Drosophila melanogaster: one gene and its partners. The protein of the gene in region 1 interacts with the protein of each later gene in a pairwise test. Each region holds a gene or a part of one and is shown in the gene's direction. Other genes may lie near its edges.

Region 1 (5,504 bases):
ATTAAAAGGTTTTCTTACTAGTTGGTGAATTTCTCGAAAACGAGTAGAGATTAGTTATTATTTATAGGGCAAAAGGGTATACTAGATTCGTGGGAAAGTATATAACAGGCAGAAGATAGCGTTTCCGACCCTATAATGTATAATGTAATGTAATATATATATATTCTTGATCAGGTTCAATAGCCGAATCGAACTAGCCATGCCTATATGAACGCCTCGACCCAGAGCCGGTTTGTTGACCCATTTTGACACGCTTGCTCTAACGCATACAAATGTCTGGATATTTTTGTATTAGTCTTGAAAGTTTGTATCGATTTGCAAAAAATATACTTTTTGCCACGCCCATCGAACGCCAAAAACGGCCACGCCAATACTATTGAAAAATGTTTTATATTTTGTTCATAATTTTTCTTAGTTTTGTAAATATCTATCGATTTGCCAAGAAACTTTTTTTATAATTTTTAAAATTTTTATTAGTCATGTAATTTTTGTTCGATATGCCAAAAAATATTTGGTAGCCCACAAATCGCACAAAAGTGTCACGCCCAAAATTTTAAATTTTATAAGTCTTGTAAATTTCTCTCGATTTGCAAAAAACACTTTCTGCCACTCCCACATTCTTGATAATTGTTTGGATATTTCTTCATACTTTTATTAGTCCTGCTTAGTCTATCGATTTGCTTAAATACTGTTTGCCACGCAAACTCTAACGCCGCAAAACCGCCCAAAACTGCGACGACCACATTTTTGAAAAACTTTTGGATATTTTTTCGTAACTATTAGTCATGTAACTTTTTATCGATTTCCCAAAAACTTTTTGGCACGTCCACTCTAACGCCCATAGCCTCCCAAAACTGCCACGCCCACAAAAAAAGTTTAGATTTTTCTTCGTTTTATTTTTTGTTTTTTCATTTTTTATTTATATACCAAAAAACTGGCCACGCCATCTTTTCGCCTACGAAACGCGCAAAACGGTCACGCCCACACTTTTAAACAATTTTAAAATCAGGTATAAGCAGGTATAAATACTTATCAAATATAAAAGAGTTCTTTATTTAATTTAAAGGATGGCCAAAAGAGTTGATTTTAAATAATGTTATTTAATATATTTACGCAAATGGTCAAAGAGAACTAGTAATTCGGAAGAACCGCAATTAAGACTGTGAAAAAGATTGCAGCGCTATCGTCTGGAAAACAGCTAAATCAGTTGTTTACTGTTGAATGTAAATAACAATTTCTGCCTTCTCGTGGCTTCAAAAAAATAAATTGCAAATTTAAATCCTTTTTTTTAACGAAATCCAAAAATTTTGCCTAAATCGAATTCGAAAAAAATATTACGTATGCCGAATGCATGTCCGATATTTGTCACATCATGATCACGAACAACAAATTTACATTTTCTTCATCTTATTTTTTCCATGGATATAATATCGGACCGGCTCGGTTTGGCTTACATGAAAGCTTGATGCAAATTGCTTTAAAATTGCGATTAATAAGCATTGAAACGAACTGACGGACTGTCTTGTCAAAGCATATAGATAGTTTTCAAGCACCCCTGTGTTACATTTTCACAGTTTCACTTTTAACAGAATCTTATCGCCGTTACCTTAACACTTGTCCTAAAAATACCATGCACTATTTAATCTTAAAATGCGAAGCGGTCGGCGAAATGGCGTTTTTAATGTCCAGGTCATGGCAACACAACCGCTGTTCACCGATCAGTTTTTATTGGTTTTCAGGAATAAGTAAATTGGATTATTGAAGGCTTCACTTGGCACGTATTAGCTTGGATTTCTATACGCTCAAGCTGCGCAGTCTTCACGTTGTGTTATGAGACCAAAATAGATCGAAGTGCGTGTGTGTGTTATTACCCAAAGGAGTTGTGTTCTTTAAACTTCGAACGCCACCGACATCATCATGTTTTTCATCTCACCGAATTATAAATAGTTGTGTGTCGTTTGTTGGTGCCATAATGAATTCTACACGGGGCCATGGGAGGGAAAAAGTACGGGAACTGGGCGAAGCATCAAAGAAAAGCCAGCAAAGCGGAACTTTCAAAGTGCCGTTAAAGCTGTTCCCATCTGCTAAGCTTACACTTACACATTCACAGGCTTAACTTAGAAGGCGTAGTGCGCTGCTTATATTATTGAATTTGACTGGTGTTTCAAAATATATGGATCTGATTGGAGAGATAGAGGAGATCTGAATCATTATGTTTTGGGTTCCGAATAAGATAAATAAAAATTACCTGTCAGGCTCTTTCGATTCTCTGAATGCTCAATTTCCACATTAAAACCAAGTCAGACGTGGGCGTTATCAGTTTATTCGTGTTTATTCCTTTTGGAGGTCAACCACTAACGGCTAATTACGGTTAAGAATTGTAAATTGCATGAATAACTAAGCCCAATGCTTTTTATACAACAGGCTCAGTTTTCATGGATCGCAGTCTGGACTCTATTGGCAGCTGTTCACTGGATGTAGACGCCGACTCCTCCGATATATCAGGTAAATATTTATATGGATATTTATGTGGATATACATATAACCAACTTCAATCGCCTTGCAACCCATCTGTGGATTACATCGGGTTGATTTCCCCGAATTGCAGATACCAGTGGGAGCCTGAACTTTCCAACGCCGGTCTCAGTAAGGGACATAACACGCGAATTTACTGCCAACCTTCGGGAGCGCTGTGTGCCTAACTTGCCTCCCCAGCCTCAGCACAAAACCCCTGCCTACGTTGAATCCAGGTCGTCAGAGCTGGAGCACATGGTGCTGTCACCTGCAATTGTGGAGTGCGACCAAGAGCCGAGCTCCAATGATTTTGACGAGACTTCTGCAGAAAATTCACAAGAAGCTCCCGAAAAGAAGCCCAGCTATTTAAACCTGGCTTGCTGCGTCAACGGTTATTCCAACCTTACCACCTACGACTCCAAGATTCGGCAGGACATAAACAAGTCACGTGAGGTTTCCCCGATTCGTCCCTCCACCAGCAGTCTACAGTACTGCAAACGCAACCACTTTCTAGCGACACCAACTCTGCACAGCATGCCTTCTCCGGCCACCAAGTGCAAACCCATCGAGCCTAACAACAACAGCAACGACAGTAGCGGGAATTTTAGTTCGGGTTCTGGTCACAGCAATGGAAATGGCAGTTTTATCAAGCAACGGGTGGAGCGACTTTACGGGCCGGGTGCATTAGCCCAGGGTTTCTACAGCCCCAAAAAGCACGGCCAGTCACCATCGAATGCTGCAGGGCGATCGGAAAGGGGGCAGGTGGAGATCGACTCTCTACAAGGCTCCGAACTGGCTCGGAAATTCAAGCAGCTCTCCCCCAGTAAAGACTATGGGGAGTTTCGAAAAAAAATGCAGAAGAAGTGTTCTCAGAGTACAACGGCGAGGATAGACGAGCCGTTGCATTCTCCAGGGCTTAACGGAGATCTTGACCTGCCCGTGTTTAGGCACCTTAGTCAAGAGTTCCGCGCCCAGTTGCCTACTGTGTCACCAAAAAGGGGTGCTCCTCGATCTTGCATGGCTCCTGATGTACTGCTTGTAGATAACGAGTCAAGTCCAGACCATGGTCCCACAGATGAAGTAGACCACGAATCCACAAAAATGGACAAACTAGCCTCAGAGGAATACATCAGCACTTCCAATATTTCTGTTGAAGCTGTTGTTAAGGATGGAAATTTCTTTCTGAAAATACTAAAAGAGGAACAAAGCCGTCTCTTGGTGCTAGCCGCTCTTGCTGAAAAATATGCAGACGCCTTGTCTGTAAGTGATCTAAATAGTGATTAAAATCTCAATTGTTTTTATTATTATTTTCGACACTGAACTCTACAGACAAATCCAGATATCTCCGAAGATACCTTTGGGCTACTGCGATCAGCGTCGGGTAAGGCCCGTCTCTTGGTATCGCAGAAAATGAAACAATTCGAGGGTACGCGTATTGCAAAGCATTAAATCACTTGTTACTAACATTAATATTTTAGGTCTTTGCCACAATAATCTGAATCGCTCACCAGAGGATAAGTTTCCAACAACTCTGGATGATTTACAAGGATTCTGGGATATGGTTTATTTGCAGGTGGAGCACGTGGATTCTATTTTTGCTGATATAGAGAAACTCAAAAGTAACGACTGGAAGGTAAAAGCACAGTCCGTCGCTGACCAACCCGATTTGCACACCATACCAACTAAGACAATAAAGCCGTCAAAAGTCGGTGTTTCGCAAGTGAAAACAGTCGGAAAGGCATCCAGCGTTCGTGTGAATGGCTCGGCACCTCCCCCACCTAACTCGGCAGCAGCTTTAAAGAGGGAGGCCCAGAGAAAACTGCTTCTAGAGATGAAACGTCAGCGTCGCGAGGCTATGACCGCAGCGGCCAAATTGAATCCCATAAATGTTGATGCCGACCCGGACGTGCCGGGAATAATTGGCGATAGTTGTGCTAATCCTAGCGTTAGCAACGGAAGTTAAATAATGCTCACTGCGAATAGCAACTCATGCTTTCTATTTATACATATATTTTTAACTAACACACGTGTACCCCACAAAGGCATACTTAAATTTATAGATATTTCTAGTTGAATTAATCATTTACTAGTCCCAACTAAAATTATTGTGTTGGAGCTCCTCACTGAAATCTGTCACAAGGCGTCAAATATCTAGGAGATAACGAAGTATTGTCACCAATTGCGACTTACCTAAAGTTGTTCATAAATATTGCCTTATCCGCGAAAGATTTCGCTAATTAATCAATTTGCTGTGCACATTATGTAATTGAAAATTAAAATTACTTGATTACATATAAAAAAGACATTTATTCACGTTTTACATTATTTAAGTATTTTAAAAACCAACAAAATTTTTGTATAACATAATTTGATGTTTTATAATTATTTTTGAGAAATTTAACTTATACAACTCTTGGAATATCATTTCTATTAATAGGCAAAATATTTTTATACAACTGCAAATAAAAATAACTCACACATTTAAATTAAAAAAAAGTTAATGCTATACTTTTCCCTAGCAAATCACTGTGGTCGGCAATCGGCGTAGTGACGAAGCACAGGGGGACGTGTGAAGGCGAAGAACTTAAAATCGCTAACTAACTGAAAGGTAATCCAAAATCTAATAGGATCGCATACCAAACGTTGATAGGAAAAAGAGAGGTGAAAGTATAAATCATTGCTAAATTATTCTGAAGTCGTTGAAAAGTATGCAACAGGCAGACGGAAGCGTTTCCGACCATATAATCAAATATATAAATATATATTTTTGATCAGGATTAATAGCCAAGTCGATCTGGCCAAGTAGAGTGATTGATTTCCTAAAAAATATATATTATAGGGAAAAGTAAACTTTTCCGACCCTAAAAAGTATATATATTCGCTATTAGCATCAATAACCGAGTCGATCTGGCCATTTCCATCCATCTATCCGAACGTACATATGAATGAATGTCAAGATATCGAAAACTATGAGAGCTAATTCAATGGGA
Region 2 (3,644 bases), on another chromosome or scaffold:
GTACTAGAGCCTTCTGCACATTGGGCTAATGGCATTAAACTAGAGAAAACTAACGTTGTATACTTTATTATTTTAATGTCGGTGTGTCTGTAATTGATTTGTATGAATATTAAGATGATTTAAATGCATTTAGTTATCATAACCATAATCAACGATATTTGTATGGCAAGTAAAAAGAGCTAGACGTAAATGAATATTGTATCATGCCACTTAACTGATAAGCACAAAAGATATCTAGAGATAACATGGACTCTGAGTTGCTGTTCTTCTAGTGAATTTGGATTAGACACTACTTATAAAAGGATGAAGAAAGTGTTCTGACGCGATAACAAAACAATTCAATATTTAACAGAGATTAATGGTTTATTTACTAAGTGATCTTTCTATTGAATAACTACAGTTTTCTGCTGTCAAAACATTTTTATTCGGCACCTTTTAGCTCCGATCTGCCATTATGGTACTACTCCATTGAATCAGCTCAAAAAGAAGTTACAAATTCGATTTATTTATTTTTATATCGTAAGCATAAAACGGGAGAAAAATACCATTTAAAAAAACTCCCCCCAACATTGCAACGCAAATGGGCTTTACATTTTAAAGAAATCTTTAAAGAATCAATAAATCAACGAAGCTAACTTTAAATGTTTTACATCCATACAAACATATTTACACTATACACGTACGATCAACTTTTACACATCTATTTTTTGAGAAAACACTCGAGATCTACGCGTACATATTGATTTCAGGACTCCATGAGATATGTACATATATTTTTCAAACAAACTGTATGCGGCAGGGTAAACTAATCTGGCAAACGTAATTAAATTACAACACAAATTGTCTAATAATATGAGAAAAATGAGTATATACAAAATATACAAAAATAAAAAACGTAAATGTAACAGAAATACAAATAAATGTTAAACTAATAATCGCACACTAGAATAATGAAAACACAACACACACGGTGGATATTCAGAACCAGAGTTTGGCGAAATTTCGAGCCAATCGCAAATAGAAACAATAAATGTTAATTGAGGTCAAGTTAAATGAAAGTGAAATGTACAAGTTATATGGTAAAGATGATTAAGTCAAGCATAATGATACTCCTAAAAACAAAAATCATATTTAAGCATACCTACATATTTGCAAAATAAAAGAAAACAAAATGTTAAACTACACCAATCTCTGCTCAAGATCTGCTTATACGAGCCTAGTTTTATAGCAGTCTACTTTATTCAAGCTGGCAATGCTGTATGCCACCGTTATTGGATGATCGCTCGGTTGGTACCCTCGGACTACGAATGGCTAACTAGTTTGGTGTTACGTTTTTACTCGGCTTGCCAATTTACCCAAAAGGAATTTGTTAAAATAATTCTTAAATTTTATTTTCCTTTACATCAAACTATTTAATCTCAATGGTGATTTAATTTTACGGCAGCTGTTTTCTTTGAAAGTTAAAATTTACCACACACATTATTCTTATTCCTAAAGTCCAAACTTTAATTAATTAGATATTCGTTTTTATTTACAATTTATCGCTGCTTTCTGCATACATTACTGACTAAGTGCTCAAAATAACCAGTTAATGGGGCGCATTTAAAATCATCTTGTAATAAAAGACACTAATGGATTTTTGAGAGACTGAGAAGAACTGAGAAAAATGCACGAACATATGCGTCACATACACCCCACCGCATCCGAGGTACCTGCTGAAAACAGCTGGTTGTGGTTCTTTGTACTCGAAGCAGGTGATAATAAAGGCGCAATAGTAGCCCAGTCAGTTGACAAACAAATCGCAAAGCAGAAGTACCGACAGGGGCCATTAGTCCAGATCCTCCAGGTAGGCATAAATACATATATATATGGGCATTACTGGCAGAATGCGGCGCACAGAGAAAATGAAAGAGGCGTAAAAGGTCAACGCTATCCGTAGTCCGCTTTGTTTACGGCCTACATCGTGAATCAGAGAGAGTACTAAAAGTGCGGATTATACGCGATTACGATGACCGGAAGATAAGCCAGTCATTGCGAATTCCCTGTCCATAAATGCTGACCCGTCAGCTGTCCAGTGTTCAGTGATCTTTCAGAACCGCATCGTTATACTTGCAGTCTAGCCATGAAAACCTTTCACTCCCTACTATTCGCCCTGATTTTGGCCCTCGTGAGCCTGGACCCCTCTTCCGGTTACTCCCGCCGGAAAGATGAGCGTATAATTAGAGAATATAAGCGAGAGCAAGAGTTAAATCACGCCAAGATCGCCAGAGATTTGGTCCATCGCGCCAATTGGGCGGCTGTGGGAAGTCTCTCCACCAACGAACGGGTGAAGGGGTATCCCATGGTCAACATTATCTCCATCGACGACAGCGATGCTAATAACAGGTCCACTGGACGTATTCGATTCCTGCTAACCGATTTGGACTTCACTGGTCCCGACTGGCAGAAGGACAACAAGGTCACACTCCTGTTCAGTGACGAGCAGACCCTAAGATGCAAGGAGGGCGGAAAGGATCCCATGGAGCCTACATGTGCCCGTTCCATGATCAGTGGACAGGTGAAGAAGGTATGAAAAATGAATTAAATCCTATTTAAAATGGATTAAGAATGTTTTGGCTCATTTGAAGATGGATCCTAGCGACAAAAGCTATCAGCCATCGCTGGATGCCTATGTGAGGCGTCATCCAGCTGCCATCAATTGGGTAAAAGGTTGGTGAAAGCGAACCTCATTAAGAGCTCGATATGTATGTACTAATAATAAATACGTTGTTTCTTTTACAGCTCACAATTTCTACCTTTGCGAACTGGAAATTAGCAATATCTTTGTTCTGGACTTCTATGGAGGTCCTCATAAAGTGAGCGCCTCTGACTATTACGCTGTTTCGAATTGATGAACTCCTCCAAAAGCAATCCAACTGACGCCTCATATACTTTGTCAAAAAATGAAATGATAAGCATATTTGCACAACATGTCTGCCACAAAGGGAAAGAATGAAGACAAAGGCCTTTATGAAAGCCACTTATCAGTTGAGCTCTGTGATTTCAATCGATAGAACAATAACTTTGATATAAATAAAAATACATTCCGTTGAATGTACTCTGACATACTGAAATGTATTGTTTTGGTTTAAGAGAAACCAGAATTGTTTAACTAAAATGTTTTCATCTTTTTAGATTCAATTTACATTATTTATGTGTATATATAAAATACTTTTTAGTTTTATATGTTAGGCGGTAGCCTAGATGGATAATTTATCTGACTCATTAGGTAAACTTCACGCTTTGAGTAACTTATCCAAATATACCTTCTTCTGAAAGCAAACTAAATCACTGCACCCACCAATTCGTAGATAGAACCATTAGTGGTTAATTTGTATGTATATTTTAAACGCAGTTTTTCAAAGTTAATCGATATAAATGTAGTGGCGCAACGCCGTGGATTAGTCTTTCAAGGGGTTTACAGTGGTTCCATCTAGGTACCGGGCACCTTGCACAGGGTGGCATCAATCTTCTGCAGCTGCGGCAGTATGTCGCGCAGTTTGGAGCGGTAGCGAACATCCTTGGCCAGCGGATTGTACTCCAGGTAGATGGTCTGCAGCGCCTTGTTCACCTTCAACAGCTCAATGTCCTTCCAGTCATCGACT
Region 3 (3,883 bases), on another chromosome or scaffold:
CAGGAGGTGCGGGATGGAGATGTGGTCAAGGGCTCCTACTCGGTGGTCGATGCCGATGGTTCACTGCGCACCGTCTTCTACACCGCCGATCCCATCAACGGTTTCAATGCGGTGGTGCAGCGAGGACCAGTTCCGGTGGCTGCTCGCCCATTGGTGGCTCCAGTGGCTGCTCCAATCTTGGGCTAACTCCACAATCTTTCAGAGCCTTTAACACTGCTTGTAACCTAGCTTTTACATAACTTATTGTCTGCTCCTTAGTCCGTTGTAAAGTCAGTAATCATTAAACAATAAACTCAATAAGCCAAAGAAATACATGAAATCCTTCAATCATATTCAAGGAAAATCCGCAAGTATTCGCTTCTCAAGGCGTTGATTAACTAAAATTAATCAAAAGCTCTACTAAAATTCCGAAACGAGTTTAAATTTACACCTATACATTTTTATTAATTAGTCAGTTGATTAGACAAGCTCAAGGCCCAAAATGCATACTTGCCTAGTTAATGATAATGAACTAAATTAAAAACACACTTAAAAGTAGTGCAAAATAACAAGATATTCAATGGACATTTTTTCAAGATCAAAATTTGCGTGTTAATTATGATGCAAATATCGTCGTTTTGAACTTGAAACTTAGCAGTGTGTTAACTTTTTCAATTACATCATAATTGCGGGTGTCAAGAAATGGAAATGGTTATGTGCTTAATGGAACTAATTACTTGGTGAACATTTTCGTGACTCCATGCCATGTAAAAGTGGTTTTGTAATTTTAAATGTAACAAAATGTAACCAGGAAAAGCCCAATTCGCCAAAGAAAGCTGACCCATTCCACTTACATAAGACCGCAATCTTAGATGGTTATCTCCCCTCCAGCTGTCCCACGCCCAAAGAACTCTTCCACTCCAAATGAATACATTCACTCTCGCTGGCCCAACACGCACTCAAATTATTCAATAGCTTAATTGAAAGTAAAAAATCGGCACGAGATGCAATTTTTGGATTACGCAAACCCCAACCCGAGCATGTCCATAGATGTTGCTGCCGGCGCCGACTGCAACTGCAGCAGTTACTGCAACTGCAACTGCAGCAACGCCTAACAAGCGGCGGTACGCGTTGAAAATTAGTGATAATGGCCAAAATTGTCCCAATGGCAACAGAGCAGCGAAACAGAACCAAATCTATACACTCAAAAAAATACTGCATGACATTCGAAAATCTATAGGATTGAACAGAATATTCTACAATTGATATCCTTTTGTATTGTATATGTTATCCAAGTACTTTTTTCGTAGAGATTTTAATATCACATATCACATTCATTGCGGTTAGAACTTTTTCGTTTTCTCGCAGTGCATTGAATGCGTCTGGCGTAGATTTTTTGGGTGGGCGCGGCTTAGAGCAGCCAGCCAGTTTCGAAGGCTGTGCCCCAAACACACCTTTCAACAATCGACTGCTGGGTGCGTGTGCAGCGTCGCCCCAATCTGGTGGCCATAAAGTCGAGACATGGAGACATGGGAGGCACTGGTGCTCATGCGTCCACCACACCTGATCCGTCCGGCCACCCGGCTTAGGCCCAAATAATTCGCTTTCGAATTGAACTTTTTTGTCACGACAACAACGACGGCGATTCAGCCGGCGTGGGACCAGTTTGCTTTGGTCCAGCACAGTCCTCCCAGACTCCCAGACATGCGTGAACCGCCAAGCACCTCCAGCGCCTTCAGCTCGACCGGCAGCTCCTCCACCTCCGGACAGCCCCTTCTGATTGCCATGGGCAGCGAAAAATGAATTATTTTATATTTGTCGCGATCGATGCGAGCATTTCGCATAGGCACAGGCCGCTACAGACTCCACACGCATGCTCACTTTTTAGTTGTTTATTATTATTTTTTGTGTCTTGCTGCGCTTTTTGCATAAATATCTGGTGGCAGGCGGCGGCGGAGGCTGTGGCGGATTTTTGGGCTCGCGTCTATGTGAGGCCTATAAAAAGCAATTGTCGTGCGGCCACAGAACCACAGATCGAGTTCATTTGTCAGTCGAGCAGCAGTAGACCTCCAGTTCTCCACTACTCCATCGCAAACACCAAGCAATCCGTCCAGAATGGCACAGAAACTGATCCTCGTCCTGAGCGCCCTGGTGGCGGTGTCCTCCGCCGTTGTGGTCCCTGGTCCCGGACTGGCACTGCCCGCCTATCCATCGTACCCGGCGCTGGCCAAGGTGGCTGCTCCTCTGGTGGCCAAGGTGGCGGGTCCGGAGCCATACGATCCCAATCCCCAATACACCTTCAGCTACGATGTTCATGTGAGTCAGCTTCGTAAGAAGTTATTAGTCACCTCATAAAAAGCAATGCCAATTCAGAAATCTGCATTCGAATTTTATTGCTTTATTGAGCAACTGGTATGCAAATTTTGATTTTGCCAGACATTTTTATGAAGTGTTTATGGAAGCTTAGAACTATTAAATCCGACCACTTGGTTGAGCAAGTTGGATGTTGGATATAAAATATTTATAGTTTCCTTGAAATCCTTAGGATATAAGATGCAAAGGATTCGTTTCAAGGCATTTCTTTAAATATAAAGTACCTATTCCTATCCTTTGCTAATCCAACAACTTCCTTCTGCCCACCAGGATGGCTCCACTGGTGACGTGAAGAGCCAGCAGGAGACCCGCAGCGGAGATGTGGTGCAGGGCGCCTATTCACTGATTGAGGCCGACGGAACCCGCCGCATTGTGGAGTACACCGCCGATCCCGTGCACGGATTCAACGCAGTGGTGCGCCGCGAGGGAGCTGTGGTGAAGGCTGTGGCTCCGGTGGCCAAGGTTCTGGCCCCGGCTCCGCTGCTCCATGCCTCTCCTCTGGTGGCCAAGGTGCCCGCCTATGGTCCGGCTCTGGCGCCCGCTTACCCGGCTCTGGCCCACGGATACGGACCGGCTCTGGCTCCCGCCTATGGACCTGCTCTGCCCAAGCTGGCCCTGCCCGCCCTCTCGCCCCTGGGCTACCACTAAGTCAGATGGATGGATATACACCACTCGAATAATGCCGACCTCTTGCCGCAACCGAATAATGGACACATCGCGACCAACTTCTCCTGCCACCTGGGCTCCAGTTAGCCGGAGCTCATGGGCCGATCATAGTCGATAGTAGTTGTAGTATTAGTGGAAATGAAAGCGATTTATCGAAATATGTACATACGAATTCACGGACAGCGGATTCCGATTGCCCAGTCCTTGAGTTACGGATCCAATGTTCCCTCATCTACACTCACACATTCTCGAGACCTTTCATTTATGTTTCTTGTCTTCTTAATCTTAAGGCTGTTTGACCGCGATAAATACTCTATAATCCCCAACTCACAATCCCCGTTTCAATTCTTATTTAATCCGAGCCTGTGCACTCGAGTAGAACTCGCAGAATGAGAAACGAGATTGCAATAAACGAACCGAAGCTATGCAAATGGAAAGTTAATGGAGTATTCTTTTACGGGAAATGAAAATTTGGAAGAAAATTACTCTGATTCTTGAGTTTTAAAACGGAAGCTGATTTCTGTTTAAAGCTATTGCTTGAATATTATATCGAAATATATTACAACCATTGAACATTAGTAGGATTCAAAGACAATTACTATATTTGTAGCTAAATAATTGAAAATATCTTATGTTACATATTTTTTGAATATATAATTTTCAAATAAATCGGTTTCCTTCAAGAACTAAAGAGTTATATTTGAATAATATTATTCAACTAATAGGCAATAACTTGCTTGTGAATTTTTTACGCTTAATAAAAAGTAAAGCATACTAAAGCTATTTAATTCGATTTTAATTGCCAAGATTGCGTTTAATTCTAAATCATTGAATGATAATCGCTGTTATTAGAACCAAAGTGCCA

The links. Proteins that work in one complex are often made in the same cells at the same time.
Region 2: the proteins of vlc (region 1) and CREG interact in a two-hybrid assay, tested with the Drosophila melanogaster proteins (one large-scale study listed by BioGRID).
Region 3: the proteins of vlc (region 1) and Cpr64Aa interact in a two-hybrid assay, tested with the Drosophila melanogaster proteins (one large-scale study listed by BioGRID).

The regions. Positions count from the first base shown.
Region 1 is NT_033778.4:5,700,443-5,705,946, forward strand, and holds vlc (vulcan), read left to right. Parts: upstream 1-1,669; 5' UTR 1,670-1,745; exon of another isoform or gene 1,746-1,946; intron 1,947-2,232; exon of another isoform or gene 2,233-2,424; 5' UTR 2,425-2,435; coding exon 2,436-2,505; intron 2,506-2,608; coding exon 2,609-3,774; intron 3,775-3,843; coding exon 3,844-3,940; intron 3,941-3,992; coding exon 3,993-4,477; 3' UTR 4,478-4,997; downstream 4,998-5,504.
Region 2 is NT_033777.3:17,392,738-17,396,381, reverse strand, and holds CREG (cellular repressor of E1A-stimulated genes), read left to right. Parts: upstream 1-1,741; 5' UTR 1,742-1,846; intron 1,847-2,072; exon of another isoform or gene 2,073-2,115; 5' UTR 2,116-2,122; coding exon 2,123-2,566; intron 2,567-2,627; coding exon 2,628-2,709; intron 2,710-2,781; coding exon 2,782-2,891; 3' UTR 2,892-3,110; downstream 3,111-3,644. Other genes in the region: sds22, read right to left, coding at 3,473-3,644.
Region 3 is NT_037436.4:4,207,304-4,211,186, reverse strand, and holds Cpr64Aa (cuticular protein 64Aa), read left to right. Parts: upstream 1-2,008; 5' UTR 2,009-2,094; coding exon 2,095-2,295; intron 2,296-2,622; coding exon 2,623-3,000; 3' UTR 3,001-3,349; downstream 3,350-3,883. Other genes in the region: Cpr64Ab (cuticular protein 64Ab), read left to right, coding at 1-186.